Struthio camelus: one gene and its partners. The protein of the gene in region 4 purifies or fractionates together with the protein of the main gene of each other region. This does not show direct contact. Links are inferred from orthologs where the notes say so. Each region holds a gene or a part of one and is shown on either strand. Other genes may lie near its edges.

The links.
Region 1: the proteins of ZZZ3 (region 4) and KAT14 purify together in Homo sapiens (affinity purification with mass spectrometry; 4 studies listed by BioGRID and IntAct, with this or other methods). This does not show direct contact. The link is inferred for Struthio camelus from reciprocal best matches to the Homo sapiens genes ZZZ3 and KAT14.
Region 2: the proteins of ZZZ3 (region 4) and TADA2A purify together in Homo sapiens (affinity purification with mass spectrometry; 4 studies listed by BioGRID and IntAct, with this or other methods). This does not show direct contact. The link is inferred for Struthio camelus from reciprocal best matches to the Homo sapiens genes ZZZ3 and TADA2A.
Region 3: the proteins of ZZZ3 (region 4) and YEATS2 purify together in Homo sapiens (affinity purification with mass spectrometry; 3 studies listed by BioGRID, with this or other methods). This does not show direct contact. The link is inferred for Struthio camelus from reciprocal best matches to the Homo sapiens genes ZZZ3 and YEATS2.

Annotation. Positions count from the first base shown.
Region 1 is NC_090944.1:146,949,630-146,957,181, reverse strand, and holds the start of KAT14 (cysteine-rich protein 2-binding protein), read left to right. Parts: upstream 1-4,550; 5' UTR 4,551-5,948; intron 5,949-6,052; 5' UTR 6,053-6,466; coding exon 6,467-6,722; intron 6,723-7,552. UniProt on the Homo sapiens protein: Component of the ATAC complex, a complex with histone acetyltransferase activity on histones H3 and H4. May function as a scaffold for the ATAC complex to promote ATAC complex stability. Has also weak histone acetyltransferase activity toward histone H4.
Region 2 is NC_090957.1:20,323,299-20,331,246, reverse strand, and holds the start of TADA2A (transcriptional adapter 2-alpha), read right to left. Parts: upstream 3,009-7,948; 5' UTR 2,912-3,008; intron 1,403-2,911; 5' UTR 1,153-1,402; coding exon 1,128-1,152; intron 306-1,127; coding exon 199-305; intron 1-198. Other genes in the region: C16H17orf78 (uncharacterized protein C17orf78 homolog), read right to left, coding at 6,331-6,402, 7,693-7,770. UniProt on the Homo sapiens protein: Component of the ATAC complex, a complex with histone acetyltransferase activity on histones H3 and H4. Required for the function of some acidic activation domains, which activate transcription from a distant site. Binds double-stranded DNA.
Region 3 is NC_090950.1:7,909,422-7,917,213, reverse strand, and holds the start of YEATS2 (YEATS domain-containing protein 2), read right to left. Parts: upstream 3,017-7,792; 5' UTR 2,900-3,016; intron 2,723-2,899; exon of another isoform or gene 2,565-2,722; intron 1,515-2,564; 5' UTR 1,502-1,514; coding exon 1,402-1,501; intron 1-1,401. UniProt on the Homo sapiens protein: Chromatin reader component of the ATAC complex, a complex with histone acetyltransferase activity on histones H3 and H4. YEATS2 specifically recognizes and binds histone H3 crotonylated at 'Lys-27' (H3K27cr).
Region 4 is NC_090949.1:24,624,681-24,632,074, forward strand, and holds the start of ZZZ3 (ZZ-type zinc finger-containing protein 3), read left to right. Parts: upstream 1-4,394; 5' UTR 4,395-4,521; intron 4,522-4,959; exon of another isoform or gene 4,960-5,033; intron 5,034-5,545; exon of another isoform or gene 5,546-5,625; intron 5,626-6,949; exon of another isoform or gene 6,950-7,230; intron 7,231-7,394.

The DNA of each region.
Region 1 (7,552 bases), on a different chromosome or scaffold from region 4:
CCCCTAGGGGGTTCGGAGCCCCGCCCACCGGCCGCACTCCCTGAGCCCCGCCCCTCACCTGGTCCCCCGCCCCTAGGGGTTCAGAGCCCCGCCCACCGCTCCCCCCCCACCGGCGGCATCCCCCTAAGCCCCGCCCTAGGGAGGCAGAGGTCCGCCCCTCACCTGGTGCCCCGCCCCCTGGGCTCGGAGCCCCGCCCCCAGTTGGAGCCCCGCCCCCCGGGGGCCGGTGCCCGCTTCCCCGTGCGCTGGGGGGAGTGCGCTTGGGCCATGGGGCTCCTCTGGGTGGGAGAAGAGGCAATTTAATTTGCTACAGAAGCTGAAAAGCGTATAGGGAATGGAGCAGGCAAGACTCTTATTTGGGCTCATCCAAGGGGAAATGGTGCTTGACCAATCCGACAGCCTTCTCTGATGGCATGACTGGCTGGGTAGATGAGGGCAGAGCAGTGGAGTTGTCTCTCTTGACTTCTGTAAGGCTTTCGACACCATCTCCCATCACATCGTCATAGGGAAACTCAGGAAGTGTGGGTTGGATGGGTGGCCAGTGAGGTGGATGGAGAACTGGCTGGATGGCAGGGCTCCGAGGGTTGTGATCTGCAGTGCAGAGTCTAGTTGGAAGCGTGAATCTAACGGTGTCTCCCAGGGGTCCATACCGGGTCCAGTCTCGTTCAATGTATTCATCAGTGGCCTGGATGAAGGCAGAGAGTGCACCCTCAGCAAGTTTGCTGATAACACTAAACTGGGGGGAGTGGCTGATACCCCAGAGGGCTGTGCTGCCATTCCGAGGGACCTGGACAGGCTGGAGAGTTGGGCGGAAAGGAACCTCCTGGAGTTCAACAAAGGCAAATGCGGAGTCCTGCACCTAGGGAGGAATAATCCTATGCACACCAGTACAGGCTGGGGGTTGAGCTGCTGGAAAGCAGCTCTGCAGAGAAGGAGCTGGGCGTGCTGGTGGACAAGTTGACCATGAGCCAGCAATGTGGCCAAGAAGGCCAATGGTCTCCTGGGGTGCATGAGGCAGAGTGTTGCCAGCAGGCGGAGGGAGGTGATCCTGCCCCTCTCCTCAGCCCTGGGGAGGCCACATCTAGAGTACTGTGTCCAGATCTGGGCTCCCCAGTACAAGAGAGACATGGTACTCCTGGAGAGAGTCCAGTGGAGGGCTACGAAGATGATGAGGGGACTGGAGCATCTCTCCTAGGAAGAAAGGCTGCGAGAGCTGGGCCTGTCCAGGCTGGAGAAGAGAAGATTGAGAGGGGATCTCATCAACGTGTACAAGTATGTGAAGGGAGGGTGTCAAGAGGATGGGGCCAGACTCGTCAATGGTGCCCAGGGTGAGGGGCAACAAATAGGACAGGTACAAACAATCACAGGAAGTTCCATCTGAACATGAGGACAAACTTCTTCACTGTGAGGGTGACAGAGCTTTGGAACAGGTTGCCCAGAGAGGTGGTGGAGTCTCCTTTGCTGGAGATATTCAAAGCCTGCCTGGACGCGATCCTGGGCAACGTGCTCTAGAGGACTCTGCTTGAGCAGGGGGGTGGGACAAGATGATCTCCAGAGGTCCCTTCCAGCCTCAACCTTTCTGTGATTCTGTGATTGGTGGATGGGATGCCTTCAGCCACCAAGGGTCTAGCAGGAACATGTACTAAACGTTCCTGAGTGTCAGCTGAAATAAATGGGAGCTGTACTTTGAACACATGGTGTGCTGCAGGATACTGAATGCTCTGAAAAAAGTCTCTCCTTAATGTTTTAGTGAGACATCTAAAATTAAGGGGTGTTTTTGACCTTAATCTTTCCTTGATTAGTATCACTCCTTCGTCTGATAGAGGGGTTCTGAAAACAAATTCATATTTACAAACTGTGGAGGTAACGGACATAAAAGAGTCCATAAGGAAATGAGTGACACCACCATCAGAGCGTGATCTGTGTATCTCAAAGTAAATAATGCCTCAGGCAACAGGAGGAACAAGGGATGTGAAACTAAATACTGAATACCTGGTCAGGATCCATTCCCATTACTGAACGAGATGGCAGTCCCATGGCAAGAGCAGCATGGGAGAGACTGGACTGTAACTCCTGGGCAAAAAAAAGGGGGTGAGTTAAGGGCACAGAAGCAACTCCAGAGTGTGGGATTCTGAGCTTTTAACTTGGAAGCTTGGCGTTCTTCCAGTGTGTCCCTGAAAAAAGCAGTGGTCGATCAGCAAATTAATTCGTATGGTTAGCGCCCCCAGCTTGGTTTATGCATCTCTTTTACTATCTGGAAGAAAATAGGGACTTGCTGCCCTATGCCTGATGTTCCCATTGCTCTGCTGTAGTTGCTCCAGCAGGCTTCCGAGCAGAACAAAAAGCTTCCCTTCCCAGCCTAGCTTCTCAGAGCTTTGAAAAGCCTCGTTCAGCAGTGGTTCTCCTAATCCGCTGACGTCTGCTTCGTTTGCACAACAGCGTTGAGTAGCTTTGGTTGCTGGCGACCTGAGATCGCTTCTGCAACCTTCTGCCTGAGGAAATCCTGCATTTTCCAAGTGCCGGATAACTTATGGACAAGGATGGACAGCCTTCACCCCTGTGGCTGGGAGCGGTCACTGCTGCGGAGGGTATCAGCGTCGCTGCTGTTAAGCCGCTGACAGACAGTTTTGCTGCGTTTCCTAGAGATGGAGGGGTCAAAGGAACGCCGATCAGCGGAAAAACCTTTTTGGAGTTTCTGGGTGACAGAGCCGGTGTCCTCATTTTTTTTAAACCAAAATTTAAATACAATTTTTTTTTTTTCAGATCACTGAGCATTTTGTCCCTTTCCGCACAAAATGCAACCTGTTATTTTCTATCCGTCCTCACACAGCCTCTGCGAACTCTGGGAAGGGGAAAGGGGTTGCAGGGCTACCAGAAAGTTACCATATCATGGGCAAGGGAGGATGCGGGGAACTATTTTCCCCCCAGAGAAGCCGCTCTACTCTCAAAATATATGTCCGATGTATGACTTCAGAGGTGGCTGACCTGTCCTTAGGGGGATGGGTTAGCAAAACAGTTCTCTAGAATTGAGGAGGATTCCCCGAAAAGCTGAGTTTGACACAGATTACATGTTTCTGTTACAGGAGTACTAGGATTACTCAAGATGCTGCTGCTGCAGCAAAGCCCAATCACTTGATTCTTCGTTCTGAGCTCGCAGTTAAACTTTAAATCACTATTCAGAATCAATAGGGCTCAAAGCTTACCTTAGTATTAATAGGGCCCAAAGCTTATCTTTTATAAATGAAATCTGAAATTTTATTTTTATGATCTTGATGTTCAAGTTGGGAAATAATGGCTTCAGGTTTGAGGGAGCCAATTATTTAGATAAAGAAATGAAAATGAGTAACATGGACATTCTTCAGACCTGGTGTAGGGATTATTTCAGTTTTATCTTTACGTAGATTAACAGACTTTTGGCTTTTATAATTTGATATTCCAGGAACTGATTGATTTCAGCTTGCATAAATTTATCTAAATTGATTCAGAAAGCAAACAGGCCTAACCTTAGAGTATAGAAAAAGGAGAGAAGAACTTTTTTGTAGCTCTTTGTCATGTATGAGGTAACAATTATAAAGGTGTCTTTTGCAAACTGTGCGTTTTAGGAGGAAACGTTTTCAGCATCTGAAGGATTGCAGAACAGCTGTATTTTATGAAGGAAAAAGGTTAACCTGCCTGATGCCCTGATTGTTCAGTTACACAGTATCTCTTCACATCTTTGTTGTTATTAGATAGCACTAATGAAGTATTTAGTTTATGAGCTTTGTCTTTAGCAATTAGTAATTTGTAACCTGAATTCAGTGCTTTGAAGGTGATGGGAAGGAACTGCTTTTATTAGATTAATTTCCAGAGAGAGTTTTGATTATTGGCTGACAAACGTGTCTGTATATTTTTAACAAGATAAAGCATTTCTTAAACAAAGCATTCCTATTTTAATCTTAACAGAAGAAAAACACACACTTTTTGGTATTCTAGATGAAAAAGAAAACCCCGTGAGAATTTGTCAAATAATAATTACAAGTATGTTCTAAAACAGCTTCAGGGTCAGTTTTCAAACAAATTATTTGCAGGTGCATTTTGGCACCGGTAAAACAGATCAAATAAATTATTCCTCTTTTTCGTCATTAGGCTAAATACTTTATTCCTAACTCCAGTATCCAATGACTAGCCTTAGTACGTGTGAATCTTTCTCGTTGCTGACTGCAAGCTGGACGTTTTAGATTTATGCGTGTCAGCTGGTAAATCAGGCAGGGGTATCGCACTTCTTAGATTCCCGTCTCTAGTTGTGCTAAAACGTGACTGCGCTCATGTGGCTTGATTTAGATGTGAGCCACTACTGGCTTATTACAATCGTTTGGAGTGTTGCTCTCCTCAGTTACAATATCTCTCGCCTCGTGCACAATATCTTCTGATAAGCATATGACTGCTGCTTTGAAATTGAGTATAACGTCCACAGATTTAAAAGCTACCGCCTGCCCGAGGAGTTCGAGACAGACAGACAGGCAAGGGAGTCGGCATGTTGCTATGTTTGCCTTTGCACTGGCACTTACCTTGCGGTGAGCCAGTTCAGGGAGGTCAGTCAGCAGAGTATGACTTCTTTATGGGGGGGGAGGGGGAGAAGAAAAAAGTGAGCTATTTTCTACTGTTTTATCTGTCTGGGCTGGCTCACCCCTGGGATCAGGTGAGCACTGTTGTGAGTGCAGAGGAGAGCACGGGAATGGAAAAACTAGAGCAAGGCTGGCTTAGGTTGGTTTAAATGGCTGGGGAACACCATCCCAGCTGCCTGTAGCCAGTTTTACTTCTTTTTTCTTCTCCCCACTGTCACACAGATGCTCATATAGATAATAATAAGGAACTGGTAGAAGTTCCAGTTAAGCAGTCTGGTCCGCTTTCAGGACCAGGCTCTGAATTTGCAGGGCAGACTCTGGAAAGGACTGGTCGCGAAGTCTTAAAAGCACTGCAGGAGTGGGTCTGTGTGTGTGCCTGGAGCCCACCAAAGCCGGTTCTTCTCTATACTTCTTTCAGAGTTCAGTCTATGCAGTGTTCGCTGCAGGATCCCTGCCTAAGTGTTGTCACATGCACAAAGTGCTCGAGCAGATGAAATGCTCAGCTTGGGTCACCTTTTCTTCCAGAACTAGTTTCAGTCTTGCCATCTTCTCCATCCTGTGTCTAACCTCATCATCCTCTCCATTCACGTACTGCTGCTGTCTTACCTGTCCCCATCTGGAGCACAGCAACTGGTTCCCGTCTGCTGCCTCCCATTTCTTTTCCCCATCCTGATACATGTCACCACTTTTGGTTCCACCACTTGTTTTTCATTCCCCGTTTCCCTTGGTAAGAAATTAAGGTTAAGCATTTCTCTTGCTTACCGGAGTAAAGAAAACTTTCCAGGAGCAGAGAGAGACGAAAGGGTAAGGAGGAAACAAAGGCTAGCTGGAATTTTCTTAGGGCTTTTCAAACCCTTTTGGGGGCTTACCGGTCAGTTTGAGAACTGCTGATTGATTCTGCACATTTCATTCTTAACGAACATTTTAGGTAAAGGTTATTTTTTTTAATTAAGTGCCTTGCTTGATTTCAAGAGCTTGGCATAAGCACGCTAGGGACTTTTATCAGACTTCTAGCAACATCTTACCAGGTTTTTTTTAGGAGTAAGATATAAGCAGAAAGAAGCAGAATAAGGCAAAATTGTTTCTGATTTGCCACAAAATTCTCTTCAAGCGGAAGAGAAGTTTTGGAGAGATTCGTTCAATTTCCATAAAGATTTAGGGCAGAGTTACTGATACATAGCACTTCTTTGCTCAGTAGCTTTACCACGTCGTAAGTGCACCCATCTGAAGTGAGTACAAACCAAGTATTAGCTTATCAGCCTCAGATGTCAGCTACTGTAGTTTTAGATTCAGACAACAAAGTGGCTGTGGCTGAAGGCAGCGGAGAACTGAAGATTTGCAAAGGTAATATGATTAACAGCGCTGCCAGAGGGGTTGGAGCCCAGGTGGAGATTAGTCGTATTCAATATCAAGCAGGCTGTGATGAACCCTGTCTCTTGTATTTTCAGAGGCTGCACAGAGGAGTTCTCAGAGACCTTGAGCGACTGAGTCAGAAAGAGCAAAATATTCGCCTTTTAGAAGAGCAGATCGCTTTGACGAAGCAGCTCAAAGAAGAAAGAGACAAGACGCTAATGGAGAAAGGGTCCCAGCAGTCCTAGGCACGGTCCTGACCCCTGAGAGTGTGGACTGAAGGCAGTTGGCCAGGTTTGCTATCTGACAGCCCACAAGTAAGCGGAGGTAATCTGTGAAAGACCATTTCTTTCACATACATTCTAATACAATTCAAAAAACTATAGCGCCTCTATCTTCAGCACTTTCACGAGCGGAGACTTGACTGGCACATGCAGTGGGGATGGTCTTGTGAATGTGAGGAGGAAGGGCTCCTTGTAAAGTAAGCACCATCTTCCTTTATGTGATAAAGGATGGCTAATAATGTTCACATGAGCGGGCTGCTGAGTCGCCATGATGATGAAGCGACAAGGACGTCGACCTCCGAAGGCCTGGAGGAGGGTGAGGTGGAAGGGGAGACGCTCCTGATTGTCGAGTCTGAGGATCAAGCCTCCGTGGATTTATCGCATGATCAGAGCGGAGACTCTCTGAACAGTGACGAAGGTGATGCATCTTGGATGGAGGAGATGTCCTATTATTGTGAGAAGTGTCAGAAGTGGATACCAGCAAGTAAGGATGCTGTTTTTATTATTTCTTGTAGCGCTTCCCATTTCCAGTTTGCTTTATTACGGTTGCTATGTTCCCCCAAAATACAGTGTGTGGGTCTCGCCTGGTCTCATGAGGCATGAGGCAAGGTGGTCATGCTGTCCATTTTAAAGAATAGCTCTATTTAGCCTTATTCTGTCATTGGGAAGAAATGCTGTTTTGGCATCACATGGAGCCCAGTAGCCGAAAGCCATTTGTTGTGTTTGTGTGCATCAGGCGCTTACACCCATGAACCCCATATGGGTATCCAAAACTGGCATTCCCCAGTAAAAAAAATGGGACTGTTGGATCTGCTAAACAGAAAGCAAGGGCAGGACTTCGGAAATGCGAGCACGCATTCAAGTTCTGTTGTCAGTGTGTTAGGGGACTTTAGCCAAGTGACTTTGCATGTCGCTCAGCAGAGAGGTAAAGGCAGTGACTGTTTCTATAAAGGTCTATGGGTGAAAAGGGTTCTGTAGGTGGTGGTCTTTTTGTCTTTCTTTTTCTTTATTTTTCCTGGCTAGTTTGTCACATCTGTGGAACATAAGACTAACTCTCAACCTTAATGATTTCCTAAGAACGTGAATTTAATGTAGGTTTCACAGAGGCGTGTTAGGCCTGTAGCAGCTAGCTTTCGGAGGCGTTTGAAGCAGGTTGGATCACTTGATCTCTCCGCTCCTGCTATTTGACATAAGATACATGCTGTTAGCTGAGAAATAGAAGAGATGTTACTTTCCAAAATCTAAATGATTGAATCTACTATTATATCTAAAACCTACGTATTGCTACCTGCTGTTTGTTGGTGGCTAGAAGTA
Region 2 (7,948 bases), on a different chromosome or scaffold from region 4:
TCTCCTTCAGCTGTTCAAGCTAAATTCTTAGCCTTCAACACCTTCTTTGTCATTTCCCTGTCCTTGAGCAAATATGTGCTTTGATACAAGTTTACAGAGACCAATTATTAATGTGTTTATGTAACAGCTTGGTATGAGACAGGCCTTTGATGACTTTCTTAAAGAAATGAATGTCTTCACTTTTATCCTTGCACTCACCTGCAAACACAGGAGGAAGGGAGGAGGCCCACACTCAGCACACTTGACGTAGGGCTCTGTGAGGTAGGAAGAGCAGCCTCGGCACGGAGGCTTATCAAAAGGGTCATCTGTGAAGCCAACAAGTAAATCTCATGCAACACAAACATGACACTGTTTTTGCTATCATTCAAATATCCAATAATTTTAATAATTTAAAGTGAAGTCAGCTGTATATAACCTCTTTCCTACTGGAGCTTCTCCAAATAGCCGTTGAAAGTTCCTTGTTCAGCTGAAGCTTCCAGAGAGATCCTGGCACTTCCTCTCTGCTAGACCTAAAACTTTGAGGGCTAAATAGCCTACTCTTGTGCAATGGAGTCAAAGGAAAGCCCTCTCTGGAGCAGCCTATCAGTATTTCTCAGCAGTGATGCAATGAGCTGTGCTAGCTGGTTGATTTGATCCAGTGCCCATGGTCATGTCTTGCACTGAAGATGAGTCCCAAGGACCTTACTTATGGAGAAGATTGCACAGACAGCTGTAGTTTCCCATCCATCTACCTCAAGTCTGACCTGAACAGCTTATTGTTGTGGTTGCAAAGGCATGCATTCTACTGTTCTGTAACCCATCCAATCCTCAGACACTGTTCAAATTGCTGAACAAGGAATCAAACACTGTTCTACAAGTTTTTCTTATTTTGTTCATTACAAAGTAGTCAAATTAAACAGGCTGTCAATTAGTAAAAGCCGTAACTAGTCCCACTATATAACAAGGAGGCAAAAAAGATCCAAATTCCCACCAAATAATTCATATACCAGTTGTGCTTTTGAGAATTCGATTAAAGTAGTGACCCTGTGGACCAAATATTGCTACTTTTCCGTCTCCCTCCCCCAGCTTACTGCTGATGTCTTTAAAAAATGGCAAACCCTTTCCAAATCTCAGCTTATGGTACTTACTGCTGAAGGAGGCCAGGCGCTCCATTCCTCTCCCTCCCTCTCCTCTTCCTCCCGATATTCTTGCTCCTCTGAGTAACACCTGTCCTGCTATAAAAGACTGTAGCGTAAGCTTCGCCCCAACCAGTATGTTCAACTTTCCACCTGAAGGGTATTTTCCACTTGAAGGAAAGGAGTCTCACACAGTCCTGATAGAGGAGATCCTCTCAGAATGTGCCGAGCAGGAAAGCAAAAGAGCTGTGGACAGTCACTGTAACAGGGACCACTTGATGTGTTTTCTGCAGGTGAGAGAAGAAATCAAACGCAGACAGGTAAGATTCATAGTATGAAGAGATCTGAAGAGATGGGGATATAACTTAAGGTGAATATGCCCCAGTAAAGACAGTGGCTGAAGTGACTGTAGCATCAGAAATCTTCAAATGTGGTATAGTAGCGATCCCCGCAACTGCTGCTGTGAGGGAAGTGCAGTAGCGACAACTAACGAAGAAAGAAGGAATAAGGTTTACACAAGGTCAGGGAGCGAACAAGTGGCAGAGACGGGATTTGGTTAATCCTGATTTTTGCTCTAAACCCCAAATGACAAGCCTGAACAAAATTCCCAGTGGGAAGCTGGACAGCAATCCCAATTTGTTTCCCACTAGCAAGGTACAATTTTTGTGAGAACCAGCAGCGTCTTACCTGAACCTAATTTTACCTGGACTAGTTTTCCCTCCAAGAGACTTTAATTACATAAATGACACATTAAATGCTTCATGGAATTTACTGATACCAAAAAGTCAAAGCAAAAAAGCCCATCCCAAAACAGCAACACTACAAAGTACTGCTGGTGAAATCCTAAATGGAAGCTTTCATCCGGAAACGCATGTGGTGAGCGGTTATGGACGTCTGTTATGCAAGAAAGAGCCCTGCACCTCCAAGAAGCACCAGGAAGAGAAGGAGCAGGCTGTCGGTGGCAGGGCACACAGTGACGCAGGAACCTAGCACACTGACATCCAGTACGCTTTCGGTGTTGGTTGTGTGGCAGCTCTACGAACAGCCGTTATTCACCAGTATCTGTACAGCGAGGTCCTACAGTGCTGCCCATCACCAAGGACTTGGGTTGTTTTCCACTACGGGATCTCCGGTGCATCTCACTCTTACGAGGTGCCTTAGCTGGGAAAGGCTCTGACTTTTCGCACACTGAAATTTGTGTTTATCTTTCTAGACCTTCTTCCTCCGTTGCGCCACACGGCGAAGCACGGTCCAGCGTCCCGGGACAGGCCCGCAGCTGCGCAGCCCCTCCGATCCCTGCACCTCTGCCCGCCTCCTCGGAGGACCGGGAGCAACTTCGGGGCCGGACGTCTCACCCCGCGGCCGTGAGGGACTCGCCGCGGCCCCCTCCGGACGGTCCCTCGCAGCCCGGCGTGCGCGGGGCGCCGCAGGTGGGGACGCGGCCCCGGGGGCCTCGACTGCCCACGTCGCATCGCTCCATGTCCTGCACCCCCTGCCCCACGCGCGGCCTGGCCCTGGCGGACGCGTCTCCCCGCCGCCGCCGCCGCCGCCGCCGCCGCCGCCAGGGGGCGCCCCGCCCGGCCAGGCCCCGCCCCCTCCGGCCAGGCCCCGCCCCGGCCCCGCCCCAACGCGGGCCGTGACGGGAGAGGCGAGCGCGCTCCCCTCCCCCCGCCGCGCGCGCCCCTCCCCGCCCCCGGCCCGGCCCGGCCCCTCCCGGCTCTGGGCACGGTCCCCCCCTCGCCCCTCGCCCCTCCCGGGCCGGGGCGGCGCTCGGGCCGCGCCCCGCCGCCTCTCACCTCAGGCCGGGCGGCGGGCAGGCCCCGCGCGCCGCGGCTCGCCGTGCCCGGCCCCGTTCCTGCCGGCGTGCGCGCGCGCGGGCGGGCGGTTGCGTGCGCGGGCGGGCGGTTGCGTGCGCGCTCCCGCGCCGCCGGCGGGGCCTGCTGGGTGGTGTGAGAGTGTCTGTGTCCCGGCTGTGCGTGTACCTGTACGTACAGCCAGTAGGGTGTGTCTGTCTGTCTCTGCGGGTGTGTTGTACAGCCGGCAGGGTCTCTGCGTGTGTGGTGTGTGTGTGTGCACAGCCCAGGGTGTGTGGTGTCCGGGTAGGTGCCTACAGCCTGGTGTGTGTGTATGTAGCTGTATACAGCCTCGGGGTGTGTGTGTGTGTGTGTACATAGGTACCTACAGCCTCGCGAGGGTGTGTGTTGTGTGTGCTGTGTGTTTATGTACAGACATACAGCCTAGGGGGGCGTGTATATATATGTACAGACAGCCTATAGGGTGTGCACCTGTTTGTAGCCTATGGGGGGTGTGTAGGTTTAGGTGTTCGCCTCAGCTTGGGGTGTGTGTGTGTGTGTAGGTGTAGGTGTACACCTCAGTTTGGAGGGGTGTAGGTGTGCGCCTCAACTTGGTGTGTGTGTGGGTGTAGGTGTATGCCTCAGCTTGAGGGGGTGTGTGTGTAGGTGTATGCCTCAGCTTGGAGGGTGTGTGTGTAGGTGTTCGCCTCAGCTTGGAGGGGGGGGGTGTAGGTGTAGGTGTACGCCTCAGCTTGGAGGGGATGTGTGAGTACCCACGCGCCGTGGGGGGTGCGAGCCCCACAGCCTGTGGGGAGCGTGTGTCCCTGCCAAAGGGGACCACGCTGTTACAAGCTAAAAGACAGTATTGGCACAGTAACAAATATCGTTCAACCAGGAGTAAGTTTAGGCTGGAAATTAAAAGGGGCTCCTAGCCTTATAGCAGTTTGTGGGTTTTGAGTGCGAGCGTTACTTCATCTGTACCTTCCAGCTAGGGCTTCTTCATGTGACCAGCAGCAGGGCTAAGAAGATGAGATGTGCTAGCAATTCGAATTCCCTGCTGTGGGAAAAGACAAGGCAGCGGCGGCCTTGGAGGTTGGCATTACTTGGCCCCCACGAGTCAGAGCTTGCACATGCTGGAAGAAAATTGCCTTGCCTGATCAAGGCCACATGCCAAGAAGAGTGACAAGAACGCTCCAAGTGCAGAAGAGGGACGGGACTGCCATGCATGTGACTGGAAGAGGGAGAAAAAAAGTGACTTAACTTCATTAGAAGTTTGAAGCAAGATACTGTCCCTCCAGGTTTGCAAGGCCCCCGTGTCTCATGCAAGTATATGTCAAATAAGTCTTGTAGCAGTAAAATAGTAAGGAATTAATAGTTTCTCATGTAGCAGTAATTATTTTCCTAGCAGTGATGGGGTGATTGTTAGCAACTGGCTGCAACCCCACCATCTTCTTCTGCAGGTCTTCCCCCGGCAGCTGTTTGCCCTTTGTGTCAGACTTGGCCTGGATTATGTGGCTCATGAGCTAGAACTGGGAGGAGTTACAGAGGGTAGCGCGGTGAAGGAAGATGTGAGCATGAACGAGGGAAAAACTTTAGAGAAGAGTAAGAAAGATCATAACAGGTAGACAGAAGAGAGGGTGGCCTGCGGCAGCAGCATAGGCAGTGGTGGCAGTCAGCGTCCAGGGACCAGGAGGAGAAGAATGGAGCATCTTGTTCATCTTCCCTGCCTGGGACGCTCCCCAGCAGTGATCTTTTGAAGCTGCTGCTTTTCACAAGTAACTTAGAAGCTGTAGGTGATGTGTAATGTGTCTCCATCTCCTGTCAGCTCATGAACTTGCACAAACGTCTGTGTATGTCTAAATCATTTATACAGAAAGGGATCTTTCGTCCTTCCCCTGTCTGTTTGCAGGCTAGTGCCTGTGAGGTCTTTTGTGGCTGTCCCCCATGTACACTTTGAATGTCTTTGTGAACTAGGTGCACTTGTGGGCTTGTTGAGGACATCCTGACAGAGGGCTTTGGATAGGGCTTAGCTCGCCAAGTCTTGCGTTGCGTGAAACCCTAAAGCTCAGGAATGAGTTAGCTAGTGGCATTGTTTAAAGAGCCATTTGTTTTTGCATGAGACAGTCTGGATAGCCAATCTGGCACAGTGGTAATACACATCTCGTGATAGCTCTCATGACCTCTACAGTAGCCTCATATGCTGTACTGTGTTCTTGAGGGGACGTAGTACTCCTTCTGAGCCTGGTGTAATTGTAATAGTAATGCTGATAATTAAAATGTTCTTTAGCACAAATATTAGGTAGATTCTGCGTATGTTTATGATGCCCTGGTTCTGGCAAATGTTACTGGTATTTCATGAATTTCCAATACTTGTTTGTACTTAGGCCCTGTTCTGCAATAAACTCTACCTGTCTGGAATGCCCCGCATGGGCAGTGCTCCACTCAGTGATACTGTATGTGGTGCTAATCCCCTCTTCTGAAAAGAACCACTGTCATTACTGTTCCAGTGCACCCTTTTTTTATGCTGTTGTGCAATTTTAATTTTGTGTGAATTTTTTCTGGTGCCGCCTCAGAGAACACATGACGTTGATTCAGATGAGCAGGATCTAGATCACTTGGGGGGGAAATGCTGTATTGTTCACTGGGAGCCTTGAAGGCTGCTCGTACTCGTTTATGCAGATTCTGAAGCATTTAATCCTTTGCCTGGGAACTTCAGATGAGAGCTGTTCTCCAGAGCAGACAGATGTAGCCTTTGGCAGTTGTATCTGAGAGCTGAAGACGGCATTAGAGATAAATACATTGCAAATAGATCAGACGTTCATTTTGTATCAGCACCTGAAAATGTGCACCTATTCAGATCTAGACAAGGGCTAAAGCTCAAAGATTAATATTTGTATTATCTCAAAGAGTAATATCTGCGTTATTCCTGTTGATGCTGGAGTAGGAGATCTGGTATTCTATATACTTCTTGTCTGAACTGTTTAACAGTCTGTTTAAGACGAGAGTAACATGTTGGAAATTATTTCCTTTCCCTTTTGCCCAGGCCCTAGACGCGTGTGAAAAAATCATGAGGAAAAAACTAAAAAATTGGGGAGGCAGAATTTGAAATGTCACTGGAATTTTTATTGCTTTCACCAACAGGTATTTCCTAATTCTAGGAGCTAAAATATGATTCCAGGTACTTGATGGAAGAAATCAACATATGGCTATCTTCACAGCAGTTGCCTTCTAAGTGAATTAACCTGATTGCTCCTAGCCAGGTAAACATTTCTTCCAACATAAGTCTCGTTCCAGTCTGCAATGGCTTGACTCGTGGTGGTGTAAACTGCTGTTGTTCGCTCTGCTGTGTCCAGGAGGGGGTCAGGAGAAAGCTGATGTACCTCCCCTGATGAAAAGAGTGTGCCTCTGAGGCCGGCAGCTTTTCACAGGTAGGTCTCATGAATGACAATGATTTTGAATCTTTCCTTGTAAGGCTCTTGGCCTGATGCTTCCTTCTGGCAAAGGAAGAAAAATACTCATCAGGAGTAATAAACAACCCTATTCCTAGAGTGTTATACCAGTGCTTGTGTGTTGTTGTTTCCCATATCAGTAATTTAGTGGTGCGACATCTCCTGGCTGAACTGAACTACAGAAGTTACAGTAAGCCTGATGTCTCCTGGAGGTGGCAATGAGATAAAAAACCTTTTGCCTGAAGTCTGTTCTGATGGCTTTCAGCTTGGAGGAGGCCCAGAGGTGTTACCACCTGATGGCTGTTCAATGGCCTGTGTGAAATGGCTCTTAAGGGTCTCAGTCCAATTTCCAAACCTCTCACTACAACACATTTCTCACAGTGCAGTTTCACTCCAAGAAGATCTAAGTGGATAATCTGTAATGAATAATGTATTCACATTTTATTTTTTTCTTCTCAGAAGTTTTAACAAATGAGGTGATTTTCATTTGCTATTTGAAATTATTTACCGATCATTTCTGCAAATTAAATGTTCTCAAGTGGTTTGTTCTGTATGTTTAATATTCAGAAGGCTTCTTGTGTGTTGACAGAGCTAAGCTCTCTAGTCTCGCAAGGTGATTGCTAGACCAGGGTGACAGACAAGTAAATGGATATGTTGAACTTAAGTAACTTGATCCCAATTCACTGTGAGAGGTGGGAGTAGGGTACAGCCTTGGAAGGTCACTTAATGGGGTAGGAAGCACAAGATTAAATCATTTCTTCATGAAAAGGCACCTTAATAATGCATTTCCAGGACCATGGTGATACTTAATTTTTTGAGGGGGAGGGATAGGTCTATCTTTGAACACAGTAATTGTTGCTTAAATGCACCTAAAACCAGGTTACCTCATGAAGACAGAACAAATGAACCCAAACTAGCCTCATAAGTCCTCCCCATGCTGATAGTCCCAGCTTCCCTGCTTCCCTCCTGTACCACTGGTTCCCTCCTGCCTCCGCTCAGGACCGCTGGTGCGATGGCACGTGCTGCGTATGCTGTTTGGCCAGCAGGTATGTGAGGCTTGTTGGCTGACTACCGAATGGCCAGCCAGCATGGGGACTGCTGAGCCCATACAGCTTCCCCCGGGAGAGATTTGGCTCCCTCTTCACTACCCCATCACTGATTTTCGCTCGGGAACTTGCTTGTCCTTGGGGCCCATTATCCTTTGGTCAAATTTGGTTGAAGGTGACCAGTAGGTGCCCGGGGAAGGGAGGCTGAGACTCAAACAAGACGTTGCAATGCCTTCTGTCCTATATCCTGAAGAAACTGGATTACAAATGTTTCTGTTTGGTGACGCACCCTGAGGGAGGCTGCAGGCAGGTTGGTTCTGCTGCTCTGCGCACCGACGTGTGTCTTGATCCAGCCATGGCATGAGCACTTGGGAAAGAAGCAAAAGCAGTTAGCTGTGCATGAGGGTGGTGAAGAAAACCAACTGCTGAAAACTAGTAACAGGCTATTTTTTTCTGGAAGGGCCATGATCGATACTTGTACATGTTTAGGCATCACAGTAATGTAGCTTTACACAGTGAATCACCGTAGCTCAGTCTGATATGTT
Region 3 (7,792 bases), on a different chromosome or scaffold from region 4:
ATTTGCATACTTACGGAATTCTTGTATTGAAAACTGGAGATCTTCCACGAGAAGAAGAACTCAATATGGAAGAATCACCTCAGCAAGAAGTTCACTTTGGGAAGGACAGCTCTCCAAGAGCCCTGAGACTTGGCCTGCTACCTATTAAGATCTTCTGAGGAGTTGCTTCAGAAGCAGGATAAAAATCTGTCTGCAGTCACTTGGATTCAACACCACAGAGGGTGGCAACTTCTGGCAGACAGGCAGGGCAGACAGCTGGGAGCGCTAACGCTGTTTTGCCATAGCTAGCTCCAACAGGGCTCTGCCGTCAGCGCCCTTAATTGACCTTAACCTGGCAGACAAGACCTGCCCAGCAGCATATTCAAACTGAAGTTCAGTCTCCTCAGACTCGCCCAGCTGTACACTGTCCTCCAGAACACCACCTGTGAAACCATTATCTGTCCCTCTCCAACTGGCAGCTCCAACACCCTGCTCTATTCCTGGATCTTGCTCAGATCCTGCAGCAGGCTCCATTTTTCTCATCTCCCTTTTCTTCAGCTCCTCCCCTCACGATTCTCTCCCACTGGCTGTGCTATGCCAAATATCACTCAGCCCACTCCCTGTCCCAGGGGCAAGAGACTCTAGTCTCACTTGCCCAGAGAAGATTCGAACCTGACCTAGGCACACAGCCAACAGGATGGTTCCCAAAGCACTTCTGACAGTGGCAAATGCATACCTGCTCATCCAGCCACAGCTTCTTTGTCCATCTTTCCTTCAGTCAGGTAGCTACTCCTCCTCCTTTGCACCCTTAAAAGCCCCATCCTTCTCGCTAACTTATCCCTTCTACATTACTTCGTTTCATTTTATCTGCTTTCTCTTGCAATTGTTTGTCTTGCTTTTTCCTAGAGCCAGCCTAGCCCCAGGGTCAGGGGGTTCTCTTCTCCCAAACTGTACTGCTACCAGCTGCTGCATCCCTCAAACGTAAGCTAACTGCCAGTCTTTCTACGGGCAGGTTTCAACTGCAAAATAAATGCAGAGGTAGGAGCATAACCCAGCACAGAAAACAGCTGGGAAGATACAGCTGCAAATACTTCAGCAAGCAACAAGAACCAAAGTACACGGTCAGGCACTCCCAGATGGCTTGTGCTCTAGTTGCTATCATGCGCTGAAGTCTGCGACCACATGCTTTACTGCTGTCATTACTGAAGCTCAGTTCAGCTAGCAGGTATGAATGGCTCCACCTATGACAATCACACCGTCATTTTGCTATACAGAGATATCGCTAGCTTCCTTGCCCTTTGTCCTTTTAGCTCCCGTCCAAGTCCTTTTCTGAACTGTTTGTAGAAAAATGCACAGAATCTGCTGAATCCGTGGCACTTCTAATTCCACACATGACAGTATCGCAACTCAGACGGTTCCTACCTGACTGTTCAGCTGCTTTGTGACGCTTATTGGGATGTGTGACTGCGATCTCCTCATAGTCGGGGTCCTTCTCCGCGATCACTCTCTTGATCCCAGACATGTTCTCTCAACTACTGCACCGAGAGGAAAAATAAAAGCAGTGACATTACCCACAGCAACTCTCCGGACAGAGTTCAAACTTTCTCCTGAAATGACAGGAGTCACAGCGAGAAGGCCTGCCTTGGACCTCGGGAACACCTCCTGGAACACCTCCTTCCCCAGCTGCTAGAGATCCATCCACAGCTGCAAAGCTCAGAGCTAGTCCCGCTATGTACAGTCCACAAGTTTACACTGCCTCCCGATCTTTGGTCTCCATAGCCCACCACAACCTGTGTGGGGAAAGGTATTGCGAAGATGGAGCGGCAAGGCAGAAAAATGAAGTGACCTTCACTGTCGCTGAACAGCCGCTCTGCAAACACACCTCGCCCCTCTCCTGGCAGGCACGTTTCTTTATGCAAGGTTAGCACGTACGACCGGAGAAGACCGCCAAGGCAGGTGTTGGTATTAGCAACTTCTCTTCCAATTTAGCCACCGTCCATTGACGCAAAAGTCACAACAGCCTGTTCCCCATCCTCAGCGATGCCTGCACGCGGATCTTAAGAGGATGTCCAGACTTGCTTGGCTCACCAATTTCAGTACATCGGGGGTGTTTTCTCAGGGGCGGCACCATCACCTCCAGCACGCAGCGCTTGGTCAGAGTCAGCGCGCTGACGGCCCGAACGAGCCGGGACGCGCACACACAGCGACACAAACACACCACGCTACCCGGGACAGGCGGGGGGCTCGCCGGCGAAGCTGCGCCAGCACACGGGTCACGTACAAGCGTGACCTCCCAGCTAGACCGCGGGGGAACCGCGCGGGACAACGTCCCCACGCCCGGCCGAGCCCCCTCTCCCCGACAGCTGCCCCGGCCCGGGGGGGGGGGGGAGGAGGGGGGAGGAGGGGGGTCGCCCACCCGCGCTCACGCGTCCCGCCGGCCACCGACACGCCTCGGCAAGGGGTGGCCCACGCAAGACGCCTCGCACGCCAACCGCCCCGCGCCGGGCCGGGGCGCGGGCGCAGCCGACGGCGGCCGCCGCCGCAGGGCGGACTCGGGAGGCCGCGGCCCACGACGCCCTCCTCACCTCCGCGGCGGCTCGCTGCTCCCGCCGCCGGGGCGCACGGCCAACCCCGGCCCGAGCCTCCGCAGGCGCTCGCGGCTCCCCCCAGGGCACCCTCCCTTCAGGCCGGGCGCTCGGCGCGGCCGCGGCTCCGGGGCGGCCGTTAGGGCCGTTGGCCGGGGCGCGGCAGTACGCGCGCGCGCCCGCTGCCCACGTGCGCGGCCGGCATTGTTCCCCTCCCCCCACGCCCAACCCGCCCGGCGCGCACGCGCGCGCGCACAAAGCGCCGCCGCCGCCGCCGCCCCGCGCGCTCCTCCCCCCCTCCCCCCCGCCCTCCCGCCGCCGCCGCCGCCGCTCACCCGCGCTCCGCTGAGGCGGCCGCCGCCGCCCCGCTCCCCGCCGCGCGCCGCTCAGCGCCCGCCGCCAGCCGCCGCCATGAGCGCAGGCCCCGGCCCTCGCTGCCCGTCAGCGCGAGGGGCGGGAGCCGCGCAGGCGGAGAGCGGCGGCGGGGCGGGGCGAGGCGCAGAGAAAGGGGGCGGAAAGGCTCCGCCGTCCTGCTCCCCCTGAGGCGCCGGAGGTACTGGCGCGGCCCCGCTATATTGGCCAGTAAGCAGTACAACTGGGGGAAGGCAGATTTTGACACAAAAGTAGGAACTGAAAGGCGCGTGGTTAGGAGAAGAAAAGAAAATAATAATAATAAAAGCACGCCAAGTGAGGCCCGGCGTGACTGAGAGCCCCGGGTAGTAAAAGCGCGCAAGAGAGGCGCAGCGGCGCTGCACGGCTTTGCCCCGAGGCGGCTGCCTGCCGGCGGCCCCCGAGGGGCTCGCTGCGCCCCCGCTCCCAAACGTCCTACCTTTACAGCTCATGGTGTTTCACAGCGTGTCAAATCACAGCTACAGTTGCCCCACTAAACTAATGGATTTAATGTCACTTTTTTTTTTTCTTAACCAGATCCTAACACCGCTGTCAGATGTCCTGAACAACAAGCAGCCCTTCGCTCCGCCGCCGTAGTCTCATGCTAAACTCATGCTGCTAAAGAGCATGAGATAACGGCCAACTCTTACATGTATTTTCTAACTTCTTATGAGGCCGCAAATTGTAAACAAGTGTATGCGTGCTCAATGTGCAGGGAGCCAACCTTAAAATCCCCCTTTTCTGGTTTCAGGACCACTGCTAGAAAGGCTTTCTGTCAGGCAACAAATACAATCCATTGAGATAGTTCTTGTACCCAAATTTGTATCATTTTCATCAGGAATATAATTTAGTTTTTTATTTATTTTCTTCCTTTTCTCTGCTTAATGGAGAGAGGAACAGAAATAGGTCCATTTTTAACATTTTAAGTATATTCAGACAGGATCCCATTCCTCAGTGTATTTCCATTGCATCGTAGTCTGAATTTCCTTTCATGTGAGATTACTTCTTTCAGGAACAGTAACATTGCACTCGGTCATAACTTATTCTTGGCACCACAGTAACAGCCCCTTGATTGCGGTCAATGATCCAGTTACATTGCCAAACTGCAGTCCAACTGTTGGCGTTAGTTTTATGTTTCATGTTATAAGGTATCTGAAAAATCTTTACATGCCTCAATGGTACATTTAGATTCGCTCATCTCTGTGGGGCTAGGTTCAAAACTCTTGAAGCTAGTGGAAGTACTTCAATTTTCTGCAGTTCAAGGCTTTAGCAGGCCCCTCTCTGCCAGTAGACAGATGAAGCAGTATCTTCATGTCGATTAAGTTGTATTAAAATGTGCCTGCCACCATTTCTAAAAAGTTATTTGTATTTTTTTTTTCCTCTACATCTCTCTGATACAGAGTATATCGAATATCAAGGCCCCAGGGCTTTGGTTTTATGTTGAAAGATACAGGACCCACAATCCAAAATACATCAAACAAGGAAAGGACTCACGAGTTAGACCTCAGTGGAACACAGGGAAAAAATCACAGTAGGAAGCTCTGTTTGACTCTGCCACAATGCCAAAAACAAAGGGTTTTAGGAAGAAGGCAAGACACACATCTAGGGTTACGTGAAGGACAAGCTCTGAGTTTGAAATCCACACTGTCCTATGAGGAAGAGGATGCCAGGAGTACAAGCTAGTATTCCACTAGAAAACAACTGAAAGATGAATGTGATCTGTAAAACTGTGGTATTGAATGAAATACAGTCATGTCAGTTCAAGTGCAAGAGAACCACCCTCTCCCTGTCCGAGCCCTGTATCGGCCGTTCTACAAGTGGCACCTCGAGATGGTCAAGGGAGAGCTAATCTGGGAAGAGTAAACTTCCTGCATGTCTCTTTCCAACCTATAGTGTTACTGGTCACCTTCCTACCATTATCCATTCCCTTATCCTGATTTCGCTTATTGCTTTTGCCCTCTGAGTCCGTTTGTATCCTTTCCAGATCCTGATTCCCAGAACTAAGCACTATTTTACATCCCATCTTGTCATTTCCCCCAGTTTCCTTGCTCTTTCCTTTTTCGCACAGCCTCTAGCTTGCCTGCACTACCTGTATTCATGTCAATAGTAAGTTACATGACAAAGGCATAAAGATGAGCTATGAAAGCATCCAGACTGGAAGACAGAAGAATGATGGGTTGATACAGACACTGCAAAGGTGCAGAATCCAGCAAATAAAAGACCTAGGAAGAACAGGAAAGAGCTTCCTCCTTGTACGACCAAACCCCTCCGTGGCATTTCTCATGACCTAAATAAAACACAGTAAACTATTCAAAAGGCAAATGTTTATTAGGTACATTGGATTTAAAAAAAAAAATCTTTCAAAGAATTATGCAAGAAATATATTTAAATATAACAAGTAAATGTTATTGCTTTTGTGCTACATTACAAAATCACTTTTCTACTGTCAGCACAATCTGAAGACCTTAATGTTACGTGTCAGATAGCATTGCATTGAGTCTGGCACACACTAAGTGGTCCGCAGTTTTTTGTTCAGCTTCGTTTGTGCTGTACCAGATTGCTCTTGAAGACAAGATTAAGCTCTTGTTCGAACCAAACCTTTTACGTTTCAGTAAATAAAGGAACTGGCAAGGAATACAATGAACCGCTGTTTTCCTTAGCAAAAAGAAAAATCAAAACATATTCCAGGTGAAAGGAAAGTATCATATGAATAATAGTTAAGTAGGTAACCTCTCTTTCCATGGCCAAGTAGTTCCTATTAATCTGACTCCAAATTGCTACAGGTGCACCGAAAGGAGAATGGCCCCACAGGTCCAGCATTTACACAAATGAAATTAATAATAATACATTTTATTCAAGTCTCTTGATTTTGCATATTGCCGTGCTACACCATATTATTGCTTCATCTTATTTATTTTAAACTCTACTGAGGACAGGCAAGTCAGAGCGTTCTGAAATGTGGTAGAGGCTATTGACTAAAACAAGAAACTACGTATGAAGGACAGGAAGTCAAAGACAAACTCCTTTGTCACTGAGGGAGTGCAGGAAATAGAAAACAGGAAAAAAAAATACTGATTTCTCCACAGTAAATCTGCCATAACATTGTAAAAAATCGAAGCATTGTAGGCATATTCTCAATAAAAGGTTTAACTGTTCTTTTAGTTAACGAATGGCAAGATTTACTTCTCTTAAAAGGACATCAGCAGTCTAGACAGTAAGACTGATCCTAATAAAGATAAACCAGAAGGAGCAATCCAAGCTCATTTTCACAATAGATAAAAATTATAAGTGAATTCAAGGCACAGGTATTTTCAACATTAACACATTATTTTCTTTGGAACTAATAATACAAAGTAAGTTGTAATTACATTATCAACATGCTGTACATAGGGACTTTTATGTGTATCATTTATAATAGAATTAGCATAAAATGATCACAAAGTTATTCACATGCACAGATGCGCAAACATGAGTGTAGATTGGAGCACTACAGTAGAAAAAAGGTTATGTAAATAGAGCTTTTGGATAATAACACTATCAAGGATATATACTTTGAGTCACTAATTTTATACATAAATGCATGTTATGAAAGACAGCTGATGCGAGGCCAGTGTGCCGAGAACTTATGTTCTGATTCACACAGCTGGTGTGGGGTGGGTAAGAGGCTGCCTACTGTTTTGTGGTAATGCTCACAGCACTGACACTGAGACGGATTTTTATCAATGCCACCTGAAATAAAACATTAAGGAAGCTTGTTTGCTGGACACATTTAAAAAAAAAAAAAAACTTTACTGTCTAGTCCTCAACCAGATAACAAACTTCTGCTTAAAAATCTCATCAACCTCATCACCTTGTGGACTTCCTTTTCAGTGTGTATTACTCAGATTTTTTAGTCCGGCACACCATTTAATGCACACTGTCCTGTGCGCGTGAGAGTCCACATTCAGAGGAAAACATCTTGCTTCAGAGTGATCAAGTCTAGTGAGGTTCTTAATCCTCTGGAATGGGCTTTTGCCATCTTCAGTGGCAGAGAAAACGAGATACATTCGTCCAGTCGGGCAATTACGAAAACTGAGCGTTTGCTTTTCCTGAGCATTGCCACTAGAAAACTTTGACAACATATGCTTCTTTATCTCTCAGACTGAAAGTAGCGAGTTGACAAACGTGAAATATTTTTTACCTATTGAGTTCCCTGTGACTGGAACTGCAAACTGTAGGAGCAACCAGACAGTCCTGTATTTCAGCAAGCCTAGCAAAATGCACAAACCCAAAAGCGCTGGGTTTCCCCTTGCCGTTTCTCCCACTTGCCCCGAGTTCCCCTCTGGCCTACCAGCTGCATGCAACAGAGCTCCAGCACATCACCATGCCTCGCGCAAGGGGAAACCTGAAATCCCGAGATGTGGGACTGCTGCTTGTCTTGTCCTTGCAACTCAAAAACAAAAATAGGGTAAACTGAGTAACCGTCTAAGTTAACATGGTGAACTCAACTATTTTACGGAAAAAGCCCTAGCAGTCAGCTGCGTTCTTGCTCTCAAGCACAGGTGACCAACAAGCACAGGTTTGAACGAAGCTTTCTGGACTCAGGGTGCTAGACGGGAAAGCTCAGTGCTTCACCCCTGAAACGCATGCCAGGCACGCAGGGAAAATTAACTGTCTGATGGTACAAATGGAAGAGATTCCACAAATTATGCCTCTTCAGGCGCTAACAGAAAAGGAACTTAGAGATAGAGTGAACGATTACCAGGTAATGTTATATGCTTGATGGCCGAGACATAGAGGGATACGTGGAATATATAAAAGCAGAAGGCCAGAGGCTGCACTATAATGCAGTACTCCGT
Region 4 (7,394 bases):
CTTAATTGTAAACTTAACTGCAGCTTTTTATTTTTACATCTATTTGAATTAGATGACCCCAACTTTAAGTATACAGGCACAAAATGGAAATAAATTAATAGCTTCCTAAATCTGGTTCACTTTTGTAATTGGCAGCTTGCTTTTGGATGACATATTATAGAACATTTTAATTACTTAAGGTGAATAGGCCGTGTGGGTTTTAAGACTCCTAAATTGTCTAATGTATGCATACTGTAATATATCAGTGATTGGAGACTGTTCTATTTAACAGTTAAAGCTATTTTCCTCTTTCTCACGTTTTTTTAAACTCTAGTTTAAATTGTTCCCACAAAACAGCCATAAAACCAGGTGTTCTGAATTTATGGCTGGTATGGATTTTTAGCAGACAGTAGACCAGATGTCAGTTCATAATCCTGAATGTGTAATTTACCATGATTACATTTTTTTTCAATCGCTATTTTAGTAATTTGCTTTTTACTGATTTGTGACATGGTGATTTGCATAACTACTATAAAGGCTCTGTCCAAGTATTATTTGAAATAATGGAAACAGTAACAAAATACATGTTCTTAATAATAGATTACTGAATTGATAATACTGTAAACTCAAAGTTCTGGCAAAAAGCCTGTGCAATTGCTGTGAATTAGCAACCGTAGCCACAACTTTAAGGCATTTTGCTTTAGGTGAAAACATTGGAAAATGTGGTGGTGTTGAAATTAACAGAAATCTAGCCTTTCTTGGGTTTGTTCTTTACATCTGGTAGCACCAATGAAAGAAAATGTTTAGGACTTTCCAGGGAATGCAGCAGGCAGAAATGGGTAGCAAAACAGAGGACTTGTAACAAAGAAAACAAGGGGTGATTCCACATAAGGATGCATAGTTAAGGAAAAATAGTCTTTTTCTGTAATACTGTTTAAAAAGTTATCTTAACTAAAATTTCCCTTTTATAACTTGAAGCTATTTTCTGTAACTGTCTTGTGGGGAATTTTCTTAAGAATTTAACTCCCCCCCCCCCCAACCCCCCGACATACTATAAATACAAAATCAAAAAAAACCTAAAAACTATCCACAAACAATTTCTTAAGATGGTAAATTAATTAGTGCAGAGATTTCTGGGTGTTGTGCTGAGCCAAGTTCAGTCCAGGATGGTTTATTAGCTTTGGGTATTCCTGTGGAAGTTGAACCTACTGAACCGCAGCTGGCTTCAGGAGTCGTCTCTCTGCTCTCTTCCAGCACTTCTGTGCAGCCACTGCACAAAACAGCCAGTCCAGTACAGCTGGCCTTGAGTCAGAACAAATAAGCCTGAGCTGAATTCTGGAGGAGAATTCGGCTATACTTTTCCTTGTCCTGCTGGGCAAAGCTATCTGGGATAGCTTTATTAAGAGCTAGGAGCTAACCTGGATGTCCTTAGGATCGACTTTTCAATTGTGTTCAATCCATGAAGAGTTTTTTTTTTTTTTCAGTCTTACCAGGGGAAAAAAAAAAATCACACGTTTGACTTGCTCTGGTAAAGTGCTACTTCAGACTAAGCAGGAGGAGCAATTAAGCTATTCCATGGATTGAAATAGCTATAAACAAGGACGCTACGACTGAGAGCAAAAGCCTTGTAACAGAGCTTCATTGAAGCTGGGCCTTGTGGTCTTAGGCAGTTCTCTATGTGCAAACACGGGCTAGGAGTTTGTTTTAGCAAAGTGGAGGGGTATAAAACATCTGTCAGCTCATGATTTTGTGGCAAGTAGTGATGGAGGGAGGTGTTGATTTGTTATTTGTTTTTATCCTGTCCCATTATAACATGATGAAAGGCTGTCATTGAGTCCATTTTCCCTGGATAGGAATAGTTCTTTGCTGCCAACAGCGATGAAGCTAGAAAAATGGTTATTGCCCAGTAAATTACTTGAGGTTGCCCTTAATAAACGTGTCTACCAATTGTTTACAACAAGGTGGGAGGTGTAGCATAGAAACGGGCTGCCATCGGAGTCAGGAATATGGTATAGTTTGGGTAGGGTACGTGAGGAGCAATGGAGACTGAAAGTGTTAGGGAAAACATGGTGCTGCTAGGCAGAAGGTGTAATTAGGAATTATTCAGAAGCTACTGCAGGATACTGTGCGGAAGGGACTGCAGGATACTGAGGGGTTGAGGAAGATTTGAACTATGGAGACAGCAGAGTGGAAGAGCCATGTCCGACCAGCTTCAAACAGAGCAAGTTTCACAAGGTTTAAATGTAAAATCCCTTGGGTGGAGGTCTCATAGTAATCCTGCTTAATCTCAGTCATTTCTATGCATGGACAGCTGCTTCTGCTACCCTGTGGATAAATGACTGTGGATGCATGACTGCTGGATTCAGTCCAGGGGAAGCAGGGGGGCATGTAGAGGTGGGGCAAGAGTGTTGAGAGTGTCCCTTTCATTAGCAGGAAGCACTACCTGAAACAGCACACGGTCAACAGTTGCTCTTTGTTGCTCTGTCATCCCCTCACTAGACATTGTACTTCTTAAGCAAGATGGCAGAACATAATATTTAAGAACTGAGTGAATTAAAGGCAAATCCTGGTCTAGGGTGTGGTTAGACAATATGGTTGGACTGGTTTCATTCCAGCTGCCAAAACGGTGCTGCTGCCAAAAGAAGGTAGTCCTACTCCTCCCCTCTACTGGCGCCACCTTCTCCTCCGCTTTTCACATGCTGGCTCCCTTGCCTGACTGGGTCGTGAGCCAACACAGCTTATTTTCTAGCTGAGAACCAATCCGCCATGAATGGGAACAGTTTCTTAGTGGTTTAGGAAGTCCAACTGGCTTACCACATGTTCAGATGAGCGCAGGAACAGGCAGAGGGGAAGTTGTGGGACTCCATGGCTGGGAGTAGGGGGAGTGAGTGGTGGCCAGTACAGCTCAGCTGCGTTGCTCGACTGCACCCTTAGACCGCCATGGGAATTTGTCTGAACAAAACCAATGGATGTTGTACCGAAGCAGCTGAGAAAAACCCTCAGTTCTACTGCGAAAGCACTAACGCTTGGCTGAAATGCAGTAACATCTGAAACAACTGCAGCTGTTTGCTAAGTGAACAGATTTCTAAATTAATTGAAATTCACAAATTTTTTTAGTGCTTACAGGTGCTGCTGCAATAATACAAGAAGCTCCATTACTCTTTCAGACTTGGGCACACGGACAGAACGCTGCATGAGAACAGTGGCACAGATTCAAGGAAAAATTTTCCTTCCCTCTCTTGTGGGATTTCTGTTGTTTTGAATCTGATCACAGGAGAAGAGTTCCAAGTCAGCAAGAAGGAGGGAAAAGTGAGAAATGCTTGGGAAAATTGAAATGCTGCTGAGGATTTAGGCAAAGGACACAGTCTAGGAGAGCAGAATGAAAGTGTGTATAACCAGCAATTTCCACAGTTACGATTTTATTAAAACTGCTCTTGTTACTCTATTGTAACTAAACTGACTTGTATACTTACAAATAGGGAATAACCACTTTAAAGAAATTGATGTAAAATGCTTTAACTAGTCTTTTGTTAAAGAGAGTGTCCATGTTAGGATTTTTCGACAATTTGCAAAGTTAATGTTTCTTAAATGGGAAAGTTTTGAATTCCCTAGAAATTCTATAGAAAACCCGAGTTGTGTGTGTTTCTTGGCTACCTCCTCCTTTTCCAGCTGCCTTGTAACTGTGATATAGCAGGAAAAAACAATGCTAGCTTACTAGCATAGTAAGAGATGCATAGTAGTTCCTCTCCCTCTGTAGGAGGGCAGAGGTAAATGAAATCTCTTTGAGCAAACTGTGCATTAAATGGCAACTTGCGGAGATGACGTGCATGTTTGCAGAGAACTAGGAGGCTACCTAAAATAGAGATTTGAAGTCACGCTGCTTTATTTTCGTTAGTCGTGCCGTGGAGGGCTGGCGCGTCCCACGCTGCCCGCTCCTGAGGCAGCGCTCACACCGCCCATGCCGGAGCACGGGGAAGCGGGCGGCAGCCCCGAGCGAAACCCGCCGGCGGGGGAGCGGGGCGGCGGCGGTGCGCCGGCCACGGGGCTTCCCCCGCCTCCGGGTGCCGGCCAGCGGCGTTGGGGCCGGCTCGCCGCCGCCAGCCGGGCTCCCCCGTCCGCCTCCCCGCACGTCTCCCGCGCTGGGCGGCTGCTGCCGCCGCGGACAGCGCCAGCGCCGCCGCCCGCAGGCCGGGCACGAGCAGCTCCGTCCCCGCCGCCGCCGCCGCCGGGCGCTGCGCCAGGCACCTGCCCGCGAGGCGGCGGCTCGACCCGCCGCGGCGCCGTCCAGCGCCGGGGGCGGCGGGCAGGCCGGGGCGGCCGCCTCCGCCCTCTGCCAGCAGGCGGAGCTGCAGGGAGCGGGTCCCCGCCGCAGCGGGCTGGAGGGGGAGGGGAAGGAAGCGGAAGGAGCCGCCGCCGCGCTGAGGGGAGCAGGCGCTGTGCGGAGCCGCCGCCGCCGCCGCCGCCGCCTGGTGCGGGCAGCACGGAGGGAGCGCGCCGCGGACGGGGCTGCGCGGGCCGGCCGCGCCGAGGAGCGGGCGCCAGGTGAGGGCTCGGCCCCGGCCCGGGCCCGGGCCCCGGGGGGAAGGGGGACCCGGATGGTGCCGAGTTCGGAACCCGCGAGGGGAGGGGGAAGGAGGAGGAGGAGGGAATGAGAGGGGGGGAAGCCCCCACGTGACCCGCGCGTGCTGGGAGGAGGTGGTGGCTCGCGCGGCCCGTTCGAATCAGCTGGCCCGGAGCGGCGCCCTGTGCGCGTGCGCCTGCGCAGCGGCTCCGCCCTGAGCGTTACGTGTGTGTGTGTGTGTGTGTGTGTGTGTGTGTGTGTGTGTCCGCCCGCCCGCGGGGGCGCGCGCGCGGCGTGACACGGTGGGGCCGGGACACGTGCGCGGCGCCGCGGCCGCCATGTTGAGCCTGAGCCAGTGCGGGCGGGCGGGAGGGGAGGGGCGGGGCGGGCGCGCGCGGAGGGGCGGGAAGGCGGGCGGAAGTCTCGCGAGGGCGCGCGGTTCCTGTGGGAGCTGGCCGGCTGCGGGATGGCGGTGCGGCGCTGGGCGTGCTGGGTAATGGTAACGGGGGCCCGGGGGGCGGGGACCCTGGGACCAGCCTCCTCCCCGCCATCGTGCCCCGGGCCACACGGGGAGCGGGGCGGGGTTGGCCGCCCCGGGGAAGCGCAACTGGCTCCGCTCCCGCCCCTCCCTCCCGCCGCCCCGGCCCTGCCCCGCCTCACCTCACCTCACCTCGCGCCTCGCAGGCTGCAGCGCCTCGGCCCGGCCGCGCCGCCGCTCCGCCGTCGCGGAGCCCTTGCTGCGCCGCCCCGTCCGCCGTGTCGGGGTCACCCCGTCACGGGGCCGTCTGGCCCCGCTCCAGCGCGGCTCTGGCGCCTCCAGCCTGCGCCGACGCCCGGGGCGCCTCGCGCAGCCGCGGGCCGTGCCCGGGCCCGGGCCCCCCGCGAACACTTCACGGTGCTATTGCTGTCTCTGCTCGCTTTTCAGACCTGTCCCCTGCTATTGCTTCTGTTCTCTGCTTGTTCCCAAGGCTTCTGCTCTTGAACCCTAACTGCTCCTGCCCTGTAGGCAACTCTGATATTTAAGGGTACAGGAATCCAGAGTGGGAGATCTTTAACGCCACACACCTGCTCTCTGCGACTATGATGTATGTCCTGCTATATCCTCAACTTATAAAATACATTTCTGTTTTCTGTTCTATATGGGACAAATCACCGCAGTAGTATCCAAGCATCCCAACTCTGCAATATCCCCTTTGTCTTCTAGTCCTGATCTCTCAAAGGGAGAGCATATGGTTCTGCTTCTTCCTTATGGTGTTGTGTATTCCCTGCCTGATTATCCAGGAACACTGACAGGTCTCATAATCTTGGAATATAACTCTTCACTTACTAATCCGGTTTTAGACTGCTGCATAACTGATACTAAAACTTATATAGAAGAACATGTTCTTTAGGCTTTGAATTTCTGGCATATCTTTCTGGAATATGTTCCCAATCATTATTAAATGCAATGTAGTAGTTCTGTGGTGGATGTACACGTCTTCTATTGGTACTAGCATTATTACTGCTCTAATAACTTTAGTCATCATTTATTGAGGTTTTCAAGGTGAAGCTCTAAGTGTATTCTATAGTTCACATTAAATACTAACTTGTGCAACCTTTGAGAGCATGCTTTCTGGGTATATTTCTAACCTGCTGTTAGAAATTATACTTTTTTTTCCCCCCCTGTCTAGCAGCTGCAAGGAGTGGTGATCCAGAAGGGGTATGGAGATTCAGGGTTAGCAAAGTCTGGTCCTTCTCGTAAGCAAGTTTAACTTTTCAGAAAATAAGCTGACAAGCTACTGTTGCAGTTTGTTTTCAGTTTTTTTTTAATCTTACTGCACTGTCTTTCAGGTTAATAATATTAGCATTTGCTACTCAAGTTAATCAAAAGGGAAAAAGTTAATTTCAGGAAAAAAAAGTGATGTGTAGGGGGAAAAAGATGCAGTTGTTATAAAGAGTACGCAAGTAAAATGTTAGTGTTAATAAGATCTAATTAAAAAAAAAAAAGTGAAATTTTGACTCAGTTAAAGTCAGTCATGAAGCTTCCATTTCCTTAGAAGGGTGTTAGAAGGGGTTAATATTTTGCCTTGTATGTGACTTCTAGTAAGTCATTCAGGACCTGAACAACTTTGTTTGCAGGCTTTATGCAACACTGTCGTGCTTATTTCATAAAAACATTTTCTGGCCTGATATTGCAGTCCTTCACAAAGCTTTACTGTTATGCAGTGCAACTGTGTATGTCAATAAGGAGAAGTAGTTATGACCTTAAATTGAAATACTATTGCACGTTTGTGTGACTGGAAGTTGTTTAGTCCAATATATGTAGTGATGAAGTTCAGTTGTACATTTTGTCTCACTTCTCATTTCTGGAAAATGAGAAATAGCATATAGATTTTTGAGCTCAGTGCTATCACACATTTAATATGCACAAATAACTAGATCTTTATTTCTGAAGATTTGGGAATGTATCCTTGCATGGGCCTCTATTCTACAGCTGAGCAGCACATGACTGCTCAGATATTTGTCAGTGTTTCTACCACATTTGTGTAGACAGATTCCATAGTCAGACATCCGTAGTCTCATACAGAATGAAAGCTCTCCCACTCTTTCCAAGAGACAGATGAAATATTTTGTTTCTTGTTCTTCCAGACCATTCTGGGTACTGCAAGTATATTGGCCTCTGCGCAGTGGAGTTATCTGGTTGACACAAGGTGGAGAGACTTTTTTTTCCTGCTCTTTTACTATCATGCTAACATAAGCAAAATGAGAAAGGGTTTCTTTCATCTTTCTGAAAGTACTCAGTCTGTTCTATTTCTCATTGTTAATGAAATTTTGTTGTTAAAAGTTAAATCTTTCACATTTGAAAGCCTCTTTA